2 linked regions of the Tribolium castaneum genome follow. The protein of the gene in region 1 binds, or shares a complex with, the protein of each later gene. Links are inferred from orthologs where the notes say so. Each region holds a gene or a part of one and is shown in the gene's direction. Other genes may lie near its edges.

Region 1 (4,217 bases):
TTAATGCTTACACTCTGTACATACGGAATAAATAAATGCAACTATTTTTTAATCGGTGTGAGATTTGTTCAAAAACCCCCCCAAAAAAAAACAAATAAAACTCCGCGTCTCTAATAAACTACAGATTTTATTACTAATGATATGTCAAGCTTACAGTACTTAAATCTAAGATGTACGCAGTGAACTACCTTAACCTAATTACAAAAATTTGAAGCGTATTCAGCCGTGAAAACCATGTCCGTAACCAAAACCTCCAAAATTGCCGGAACTGAATCCGCCACTTCCGCCTCCGCCGCTGCCGCCGCCACTGGCGAAGAATCCTCCAGAGTGTCCTCCTCGTCCTCCGCTGCCGCCAGAACCGCCACCGCCGCCACTTGAGAAACCACCTCCGCTAGAAAAACCGCCTCCGTGGCCTAGAGATCCGGTGTGGATGGTGCGAGCGGTGTAAACACTTGAAGTGGCCACGCTGCCACCCCCATGACCGCCGCCGCCGCCGCCTCCGCCTCCACCTCCGCCCCCATACAGAAACCCTCCCTTAACGCAACTTATCGCCACGATGGCGAAAACGGCAACGAACTTAATATTGATTAATTATTATTAATTAATAAATTTCATTAAGGACTTACCAAATGATTCATTCTGAAACAGTGACGAATGAATGGTACCCCATGATTTATATAGTGATTATTTGAAACGTGATACCATTCTTGCACTTGTTTCAATATAACACCATGGTTAAGATCAGTTACTTCTTACCAACGTTGTGCACAATTTAGGGGTCAAATGTAAAAGTGACCTATTTACAATAATTTAAGCTTAGGTACCCGATTTTAATTAATAGAGTGGAATGAAATCTTTAGAAATCTTACGTAAGAATTGTTACACGCACGCGGAAATTAAAATAATTGCTGTGGTACCTAAATCTGCGACTGGTTCTAGAAAATGTTAATGCGTTCAAATATTTGGCAATGTTTTAAATATCAAATAAATAATAATTTCCAAATAAATAATTCTAAATAAATTATTAGAAAAAAAATTTACAAACGGAAAATGTAAATAGGTATGAAGACGACAAATTCAGAAAGTGATTCCAAAAGTAAATATCAATTTTTTACATTCTATTTTAAAGTCCAATCTATCGCAAGAATATCAGAAAAAACCGAATAACTTTTAGAAAAAAACCACCAAATGATAGTCAAGATTCTTGATCTTTTAAAATTCCTAGAAAACAAGTCAAAAATTCATATTAAATTTTCGATTGACGCGTTAATGAAGCGTTCTGATTGGTTCAATTTAGTCATGTGATCACTTATGTAATGAATATTAATTTACAATGACGCTGCTCTAAACCGGTACAAAATTACAAAAATGTTATGGTTATTGTGACGGATGGTCTAGAGTTGAATTATTACTGAAACACAAAACTTTTCGCATTTTTTTAATCATTGCCCCCTAATTACGTGCCGCCACTGCGCTGGCTTCCCAAATGTCAAAATAAAGTCAGACCGTTCTAACCTCAAGTTTTTACAAAGCTTTTCAAAAAAGCTTTTTTTACACTAATCACGCCAATTTATAGCCCATTTCTTTAAATAAAAAATGCCACATTGCTAAACTTCCAAAAAATGGCAAATCTGAAGCCAGGCGGGCAAAATCCGCGAAAAAAAGTCCAGGTTAGTTGTTTACATTCTGTATTTACAAAACAGTTTTTTGCAACAATCTTGGCCAGGTATCAATGGTAATTTGCGAAGCTGAGGAGAAAAGACACAGATCTGGGGTAAATGCCCTTCAGATAGATCCGGCATTAGACCGTTTGTATTCTGCTGGGAGGGACTCAATTATTAGGGTGTATGAACATGAGCGCTATTTACACGGAATGGAGCACCATACTGATTGGGTTAATGACATAGTTCTGTGTTGCGGAGGCCGGCACTGTATTACTTCCCCTTTCGTTTATTTTTTCCTGAATATATTTTTATAGTAATCTCTGCAAGTTCTGACACTACTGTTAAAGTATGGAACGCCCACAAGGGCTTCTGCATGTCAACTCTGCGAACACATAAAGACTATGTGAAAGCCTTGGCTTACGCCAAAGACAGAGAACAAGTCGCGTCTGCAGGTCTTGATAAATCCATTTACTTGTGGGACATCAACACCTTAACAGCACTAACAGCGAGCAATAACACAGTCACTAGTAAGTCCAGAATGTTGTAATACACACACTCACACGAATTCTAATAGCTTCTAGTTTGATGGGCAGCAAAGAATCAATTTATAGCCTAGCAATGAACCCTCCAGGCACTGTTATAGTAAGCGGATCCACCGAGAAAGCCCTCAGGCTTTGGGACCCGCGAAATTGCGTCAAGTTGTTTAAGTTAAAAGGTCACACTGATAACGTTAAGGCTTTAGTTGTGTCAAAAGATGGCACTCATTGCATTTCTGGCAGCAGCGATGGGTCCATCAAAGTGTGGAGTTTAGGGGGCCAGAGGTGTATCCAAACAATCAGAGTGCATAGCGACTCCGTTTGGGCACTTCTGGCCACGGAAAATTTCACTCATGTAATCTCCGGTGGTAGGGACAAGAAGGCAATGATTTTGCACGTTATTTTGAAAAATTTTACCAAATAACTTCCAGGTGATAATGACTGATCTGAAAAACCCCCAGAACAGCGTTGTGGTCTGTGTGGAGGAGGCGCCAGTGCTCAAAATGTGCTTCACGGCAGACCAGCAGGCTGTCTGGGTTAGTAATTTTTTTTTGCATCAGATTTCTTAAAGATTTCCCAATTCCTCAACATTTTCTGTTGTTATTAATACTCAAGGTACAAACAGCTGAACAAAGTTTTTGTAGTTCCAACATTTCTCTTTTTTTATTGTTATTTGGAAGCACATGAGGCAACATTTTTTTTCTATTTATGTTTCGTTTCCCGTTCACGCATTTTATTGTCTGTTATTTATAATTTTTCTTGCTTTCGGGTTTACCTAGGTGTCAACTTCCAACTCCAGCATTCGCTGTTGGAAGTTGCCAACCGAGAAACACTTCAAAGAAGAGGCCAAAATGCCGACATCGCCCATTTCGCTGATACCAGGCGGTGCTGCGATACGTCAGGCCGTCGTTCTCAACGACAAGAGACACATTTTGACCAAAGATGCCAACGATAATGTCGCTCTTTACGACGTTTTGCGTGCGCGAAAAATCGAAGACCTAGGCCAAATCAATTTCCAAGACGAAATAAAAAACCGATTCAAAGTAGTTTACGTCCCGAATTGGTTCAATGTTGATTTAAAGACTGGAATGCTGACGATTCATTTAGGACAGGACGAAGTCGATTGCTTCTCGGCCTGGGTTTCGGCCAGGGATGCGGGAATCAGGGACTGTCCAGACCCCGACCAAAAAGTAAACTACGGAAAATTGCTACTGCAAGCACTGTTCGAGCATTGGAGAGGCGTGGAGAGAGACCCCGAAAATAAACTGTACTTCTCAGTACCCAAACATATACCCTTGATTTTGAGGTAAATAAAGCCTCAAATGACAAATTGCCGTAATATTTTTTGTAGTGAAGTGGGCGGGCGCACGCTTTACCGGGTCTTGGTGGGCGACACAGTCGGAGACACCGAAAATGCGCTCCTGAACGAAACAGTGCCTAATTGGGTTATTTCCATTATTGAGGAGAACAGTACCGGGAAATTCATCAAAGTGCAGTTTTACCTTCAGCCGCACTCTTCGGTCCCGTCTCATTTATTGAAACAAGACAGACTGAAAAAAGTAGCTATTTTTTTTGGTTTAACACTCCTTGAAGTTGTTTTTTCAGCCCGATAGATTGGTAGCCAATGATTTTATCCAGTGTCGCAAAGTTGCCGAACATATTTTGGAGAAATTACTGGGGGATGGAAACGCAAGTTCTCCCGGAGGTGACGCCGATTCGACCACTCCCAGCGGCAACGGGTACAACGTTGATCAAATTGAACTGACCTGCAATGACCAAGTCCTGGACCCAGCCATGGACTTACGAACCGTTAAACATTTCATCTGGAAATCTTCGGCAGACCTGACGCTGCACTACAGGATTGTCAACCCCAAATAATTCATTCCTTACACTTATTTATTTATCCATGATTTTGGTGGACAGATTTATACTAGTTTCTTGTAATCAAACATTTAGCAGTATATGTTTTTCGTATTTGTTTGCAATAAAAATATGTAACACGAAAAATTAAAATAAA
Region 2 (3,754 bases), on another chromosome or scaffold:
AGAACGATATTCTCGGTGTTTTTTTCTATATTTCTTTTAATTATTTTAATTACTAATTTTAGGTCATCCCAATACAATTCTTTTTATATCACATGGCGGTTTGTTAAGTTCACACGAAATCATGTATAATGGGGTTCCAGTAATCGGAATTCCGTTCTTTTTGGACCAGTTACAAAATGTTGACACGTTTATTGCAAAAGGTGTCGGCGAAAAATTAAGTTTTTTTGAAATCACAGAACACAATTTATTTAAAGTCATTCAAAAAGTGTTAAACAACAATACGTAAGTTTGTTAATTGTAGTTGTAGCAAGGAAAATGTGAAATTAACAATTTTAGTTATATGGAAAACGCAAAAAAGTGGTCCGCGTTGTACAAACATCAAATGAACAAACCTTTAGACGTCGCAATATTTTGGATCGAATACATTTTAAAATTTAAGACTGCAGAACACTTCAATCTAGCTACAAGAAACATGAATTTCGTCGAATCTGCTAATTTAGATTTAGTATTTGTGTCTCTGCTTTCACTTGTGTTAATCTTACTCACTGTTTACTGTGCCACATATCTTATTTATAAATGCATCAGAAGAAAAGGTATTGCAAAGGAGTTGGACATTAAGAAAAAAATACAATAAATGTTGTTGCAACTTCCAATAAAAATAGGTACTTTTTTATGGTTTATTGCTATTAAATACTTAATTTTTTCCCTATGCATGCATGTGAATTTTTTCAGAATCTTTGCTCATTTCTTCATAATTAAAATTAATAGATTAATATAATGCCTGTTAAATCTTTGAAAAAAAAATTTCTTACGTAAATTTATTAACAAACAATGCCTAAAATAAGAAAAAATGCGGTAAAAATGCAGACTTGCCTTGTATATAGAGTTGTAAAATTGTAAGCATTAAATTATAGTATGTATTATTGTAATTAAATGTTTGTGTTTAGAGTTTAGACGCGGCAAAAAATTATTTTGTTCCCAAAATTATATGTTTCGAGCGTGTGGTAACCTCCAAGATAATAATCAAGTTTTATTGTAAAAATATATTGTAAACACAAATTAAGACTGGAATTATTAAGTCAAACTATGCTGCCCAATCTAATTATTTTTTAATTTTTATTGATTCAGCATATTGTTATAAATAATTCATCAGATACGTGTTACATCAACAGCGGTCATGTGTTATTTGCCCAGACAGTAGTTATCAATAACTAAATAAAACAATCAGTTCAACAATACCAAATGCATAAGAAATATTGATAAAATACATAGTAGAGTAGAGTAGTTAAAATAAAAATATGCTTTGACAAGACCGTAATAGTAAGAATAATGGCAGTCCATAGATTTTAATACTCTTATTTTACCATCCTTATAGGAATACCTGCATTTTATCCTAAATAGTTGCCCTACAGTGTTTTATTCCCAAACGGAAATAATGAATAATCAGTTTAAAAAAACCGCTCGCTCTCCTGGCGGGGATATTCCTTGCCCGCTATTGGCGTCTCTGCTTTTCAAATATTATTTATTTCCTAACCTCATTTTCCATGTCTAATTGCCACAAATAGACGAAAAAGTAGTGAATTAGCCTTACTACCAGCAAAAATGTGATAAAACCGCCCGAGCCACCGCTGCAATGCTGCAACGTCTTCACCTCGGCTCCTAAATGTGTGTAAATTGTAGAATTCGTCATAGAATGTCTTCGCGTATTTTGGCCCCGAAAATGGCAAGAGCAGACACTTTATGTAGTCAGTCGCTTCTGGAAGCGGGCGACCGCCCCCTCGAACGCCCGCTCGGGGGCGAGCCCGGCGACGTGAAGACCCAGTTCGTGACTCGCGAAGGCACCTACCGTCTCATGACCCTCAGCGAATACTCGAGGCCTAACCGAGTCGGTTATCAGACTCAGGGGCAAACGCCGCCCCAGGTGCGTGTCTCCCTTGTCACGCTTCCGGACCAGGGGGAGAGAATTTGCTTCAACCATGGGCGGGAGCTGTACGTTTACGTGTACAAAGGGATCAAGAAAGCGGCCGATTTGAGCAAGCCCTTGGAGAAGAAGGTGTACAAAGGGACGAACCCGACGTGTCACGATTTTAACATCGCGTCAGCTTCGGGCGAGAGCGTCAGTCTCTTGATCGGCTTCAGCACGGGTCAGATCCAGCTAATTGACCCGATTAAGAAAGAATTGAACAAATTGTTCAACGAGGAGCGGCTTATTGACAAAACGAGGGTTACATGTTTAAGGTGGGTGCCGGGAAGCCGGTCGTTGTTCCTAGCAGCGCACGCCTCAGGCCAGTTGTATGTGTACAATGAGGAGCTCCCGTGTGGCTCGGCAGCCCCCCATTATCAGCCGTTCAAAGTGGGGGAGGGCTTCAGTGTGAGCACTTGCAAGACGAAATCGACCCGGAACCCTCTTTTCCGGTGGCTTCTGGGCACCGGAAGCGCCATTAACGAGCTGGCGTTCAGCCCCAGTGGGGCCCAACTGGCCATAGTGTCGCAAGATGGGCAGTTGCGGGTGTTCCAGTACGACAGTATGGAGCTGCTGGGCACCGCCCGCTCGTACTTCGGGGGGCTGCTCTGCGTGGCGTGGTCTGGCGACGGGCGCCTGATTGCAGTGGGGGGCGAAGACGATTTGGTCACTGTTTACTCCATGGAGCAGAAGCGGGTCGTCGGGAGGGCGCAGGGGCACCGCTCGTGGGTGGCCGCCGTGGCGTTTGATTGGTTCCTGGAGGCGGAGTCGTGCTACAGGCTGGGGTCAGTGGGGCACGACACGCAGTTGTGTCTTTGGGAGCTGCCCGAAGACGCGTTGACGACTCCTTCGAAACCGAAGGTTAAGAGAAGGTCGGATCCTTTGCAGCTGGTGGGGACACCGGCCTGTCCCAGGCTGGACGAGTGTCCGGTGTTGGAACCTTTAGTTTGTAAAAAAATTGCTCATGAAAGGTTGACTGCTTTGGTTTTTCGACCTGATTGTATCATTACGGCGTGCCAAGACGGTTATGTGTATACATGGGCAAGGCCCCCTTCCTGAATATGTCGTATTTTTCTAATTAGATTTTTATTCAACTTTTATACATAGTAGGGGCAATAACAGGTGGATAAAACTGTGGAACCAAAGTGTAAAATAGCAAACGCTTGGTTGCATTTTTTCACCTGATAGCATGTAAGTGTAATTGATGGATGTAGAATCTGTTGCATAATTGGTGTGATTTTTCGTAATTTTATCATTCGTAAATATATGAAGATATTTTGAAACTTGTATTTCATTTTAACCCTTTTTCCAAATAAAATCCTTACAAAATAACTCGCTTTTTTGTATCAAAAGGCAATTGAAGGCGCTTCAAGCGTTAAATTATCTCGGCTCTAAACTGATTTAAATTTACTAACTGCAAAAAATGGCCGTAACGTTGAGCATCAAATTCTTAATAAGCTGAGAAAACTGACGAAAATTTTAGTTTCACGACAAACGGGAGAAAAAATTTGAAGCATCATTATTATTACTAGCCGTCAGGGATGGGGTAGGTTGGTTGAATAAAATTCCCAAAGTGCAAAGAATCATTTTATTGTTTATAAAGCATCGTATATAATCTAATAATTAATCGTTATTAAAAATTAAATAAAATAGTGCTCATTAGAGGCACTTAAATCTATCAAAGCCTGATACAAGGGCTCGGGATTCGGGAACCGTTCAGTCCACGACTGGATCATCCCTTCCGGGGTTTCCCCATACGTTTTCAATTCGACGTTCGAACTCAACACAGTA

The links. The genes of interacting proteins can lie anywhere in the genome.
Region 2: the proteins of WD repeat-containing protein 48 homolog (region 1) and WD repeat-containing protein 20 are in contact, whole or in part, in a crystal structure (PDB 5K1C), measured with the Homo sapiens proteins. The link is inferred for Tribolium castaneum from reciprocal best matches to the Homo sapiens genes WDR48 and WDR20. Residues at the interface, in NP_065890.1 of Homo sapiens: Val191, Lys207, Gly208, Gly240, Gln241, Gln242, Arg243, Cys244, Ile245; in NP_653175.2 of Homo sapiens: Arg20, Ser364, Thr384, Glu385, Asp386, Glu524, Pro525, Leu526.

What each region holds. Positions count from the first base shown.
Region 1 is NC_087402.1:5,165,146-5,169,362, forward strand, and holds the start of WD repeat-containing protein 48 homolog, read left to right. Parts: upstream 1-1,417; 5' UTR 1,418-1,622; coding exon 1,623-1,670; intron 1,671-1,726; coding exon 1,727-1,931; intron 1,932-1,978; coding exon 1,979-2,191; intron 2,192-2,238; coding exon 2,239-2,582; intron 2,583-2,631; coding exon 2,632-2,736; intron 2,737-2,979; coding exon 2,980-3,506; intron 3,507-3,551; coding exon 3,552-3,759; intron 3,760-3,805; coding exon 3,806-4,078; 3' UTR 4,079-4,217. Other genes in the region: uncharacterized protein LOC107397745, read right to left, coding at 220-576, 627-638. UniProt on the Homo sapiens protein: Regulator of deubiquitinating complexes, which acts as a strong activator of USP1, USP12 and USP46. Enhances the USP1-mediated deubiquitination of FANCD2; USP1 being almost inactive by itself.
Region 2 is NC_087396.1:10,866,536-10,870,289, forward strand, and holds WD repeat-containing protein 20, read left to right. Parts: upstream 1-1,216; 5' UTR 1,217-1,663; coding exon 1,664-3,022; 3' UTR 3,023-3,246; downstream 3,247-3,754. Other genes in the region: UDP-glycosyltransferase UGT5, read left to right, coding at 1-15, 63-282, 337-634; DppIII (dipeptidyl peptidase 3), read right to left, coding at 3,604-3,754. UniProt on the Homo sapiens protein: Regulator of deubiquitinating complexes. Activates deubiquitinating activity of complexes containing USP12. Anchors at the base of the ubiquitin-contacting loop of USP12 and remotely modulates the catalytic center of the enzyme.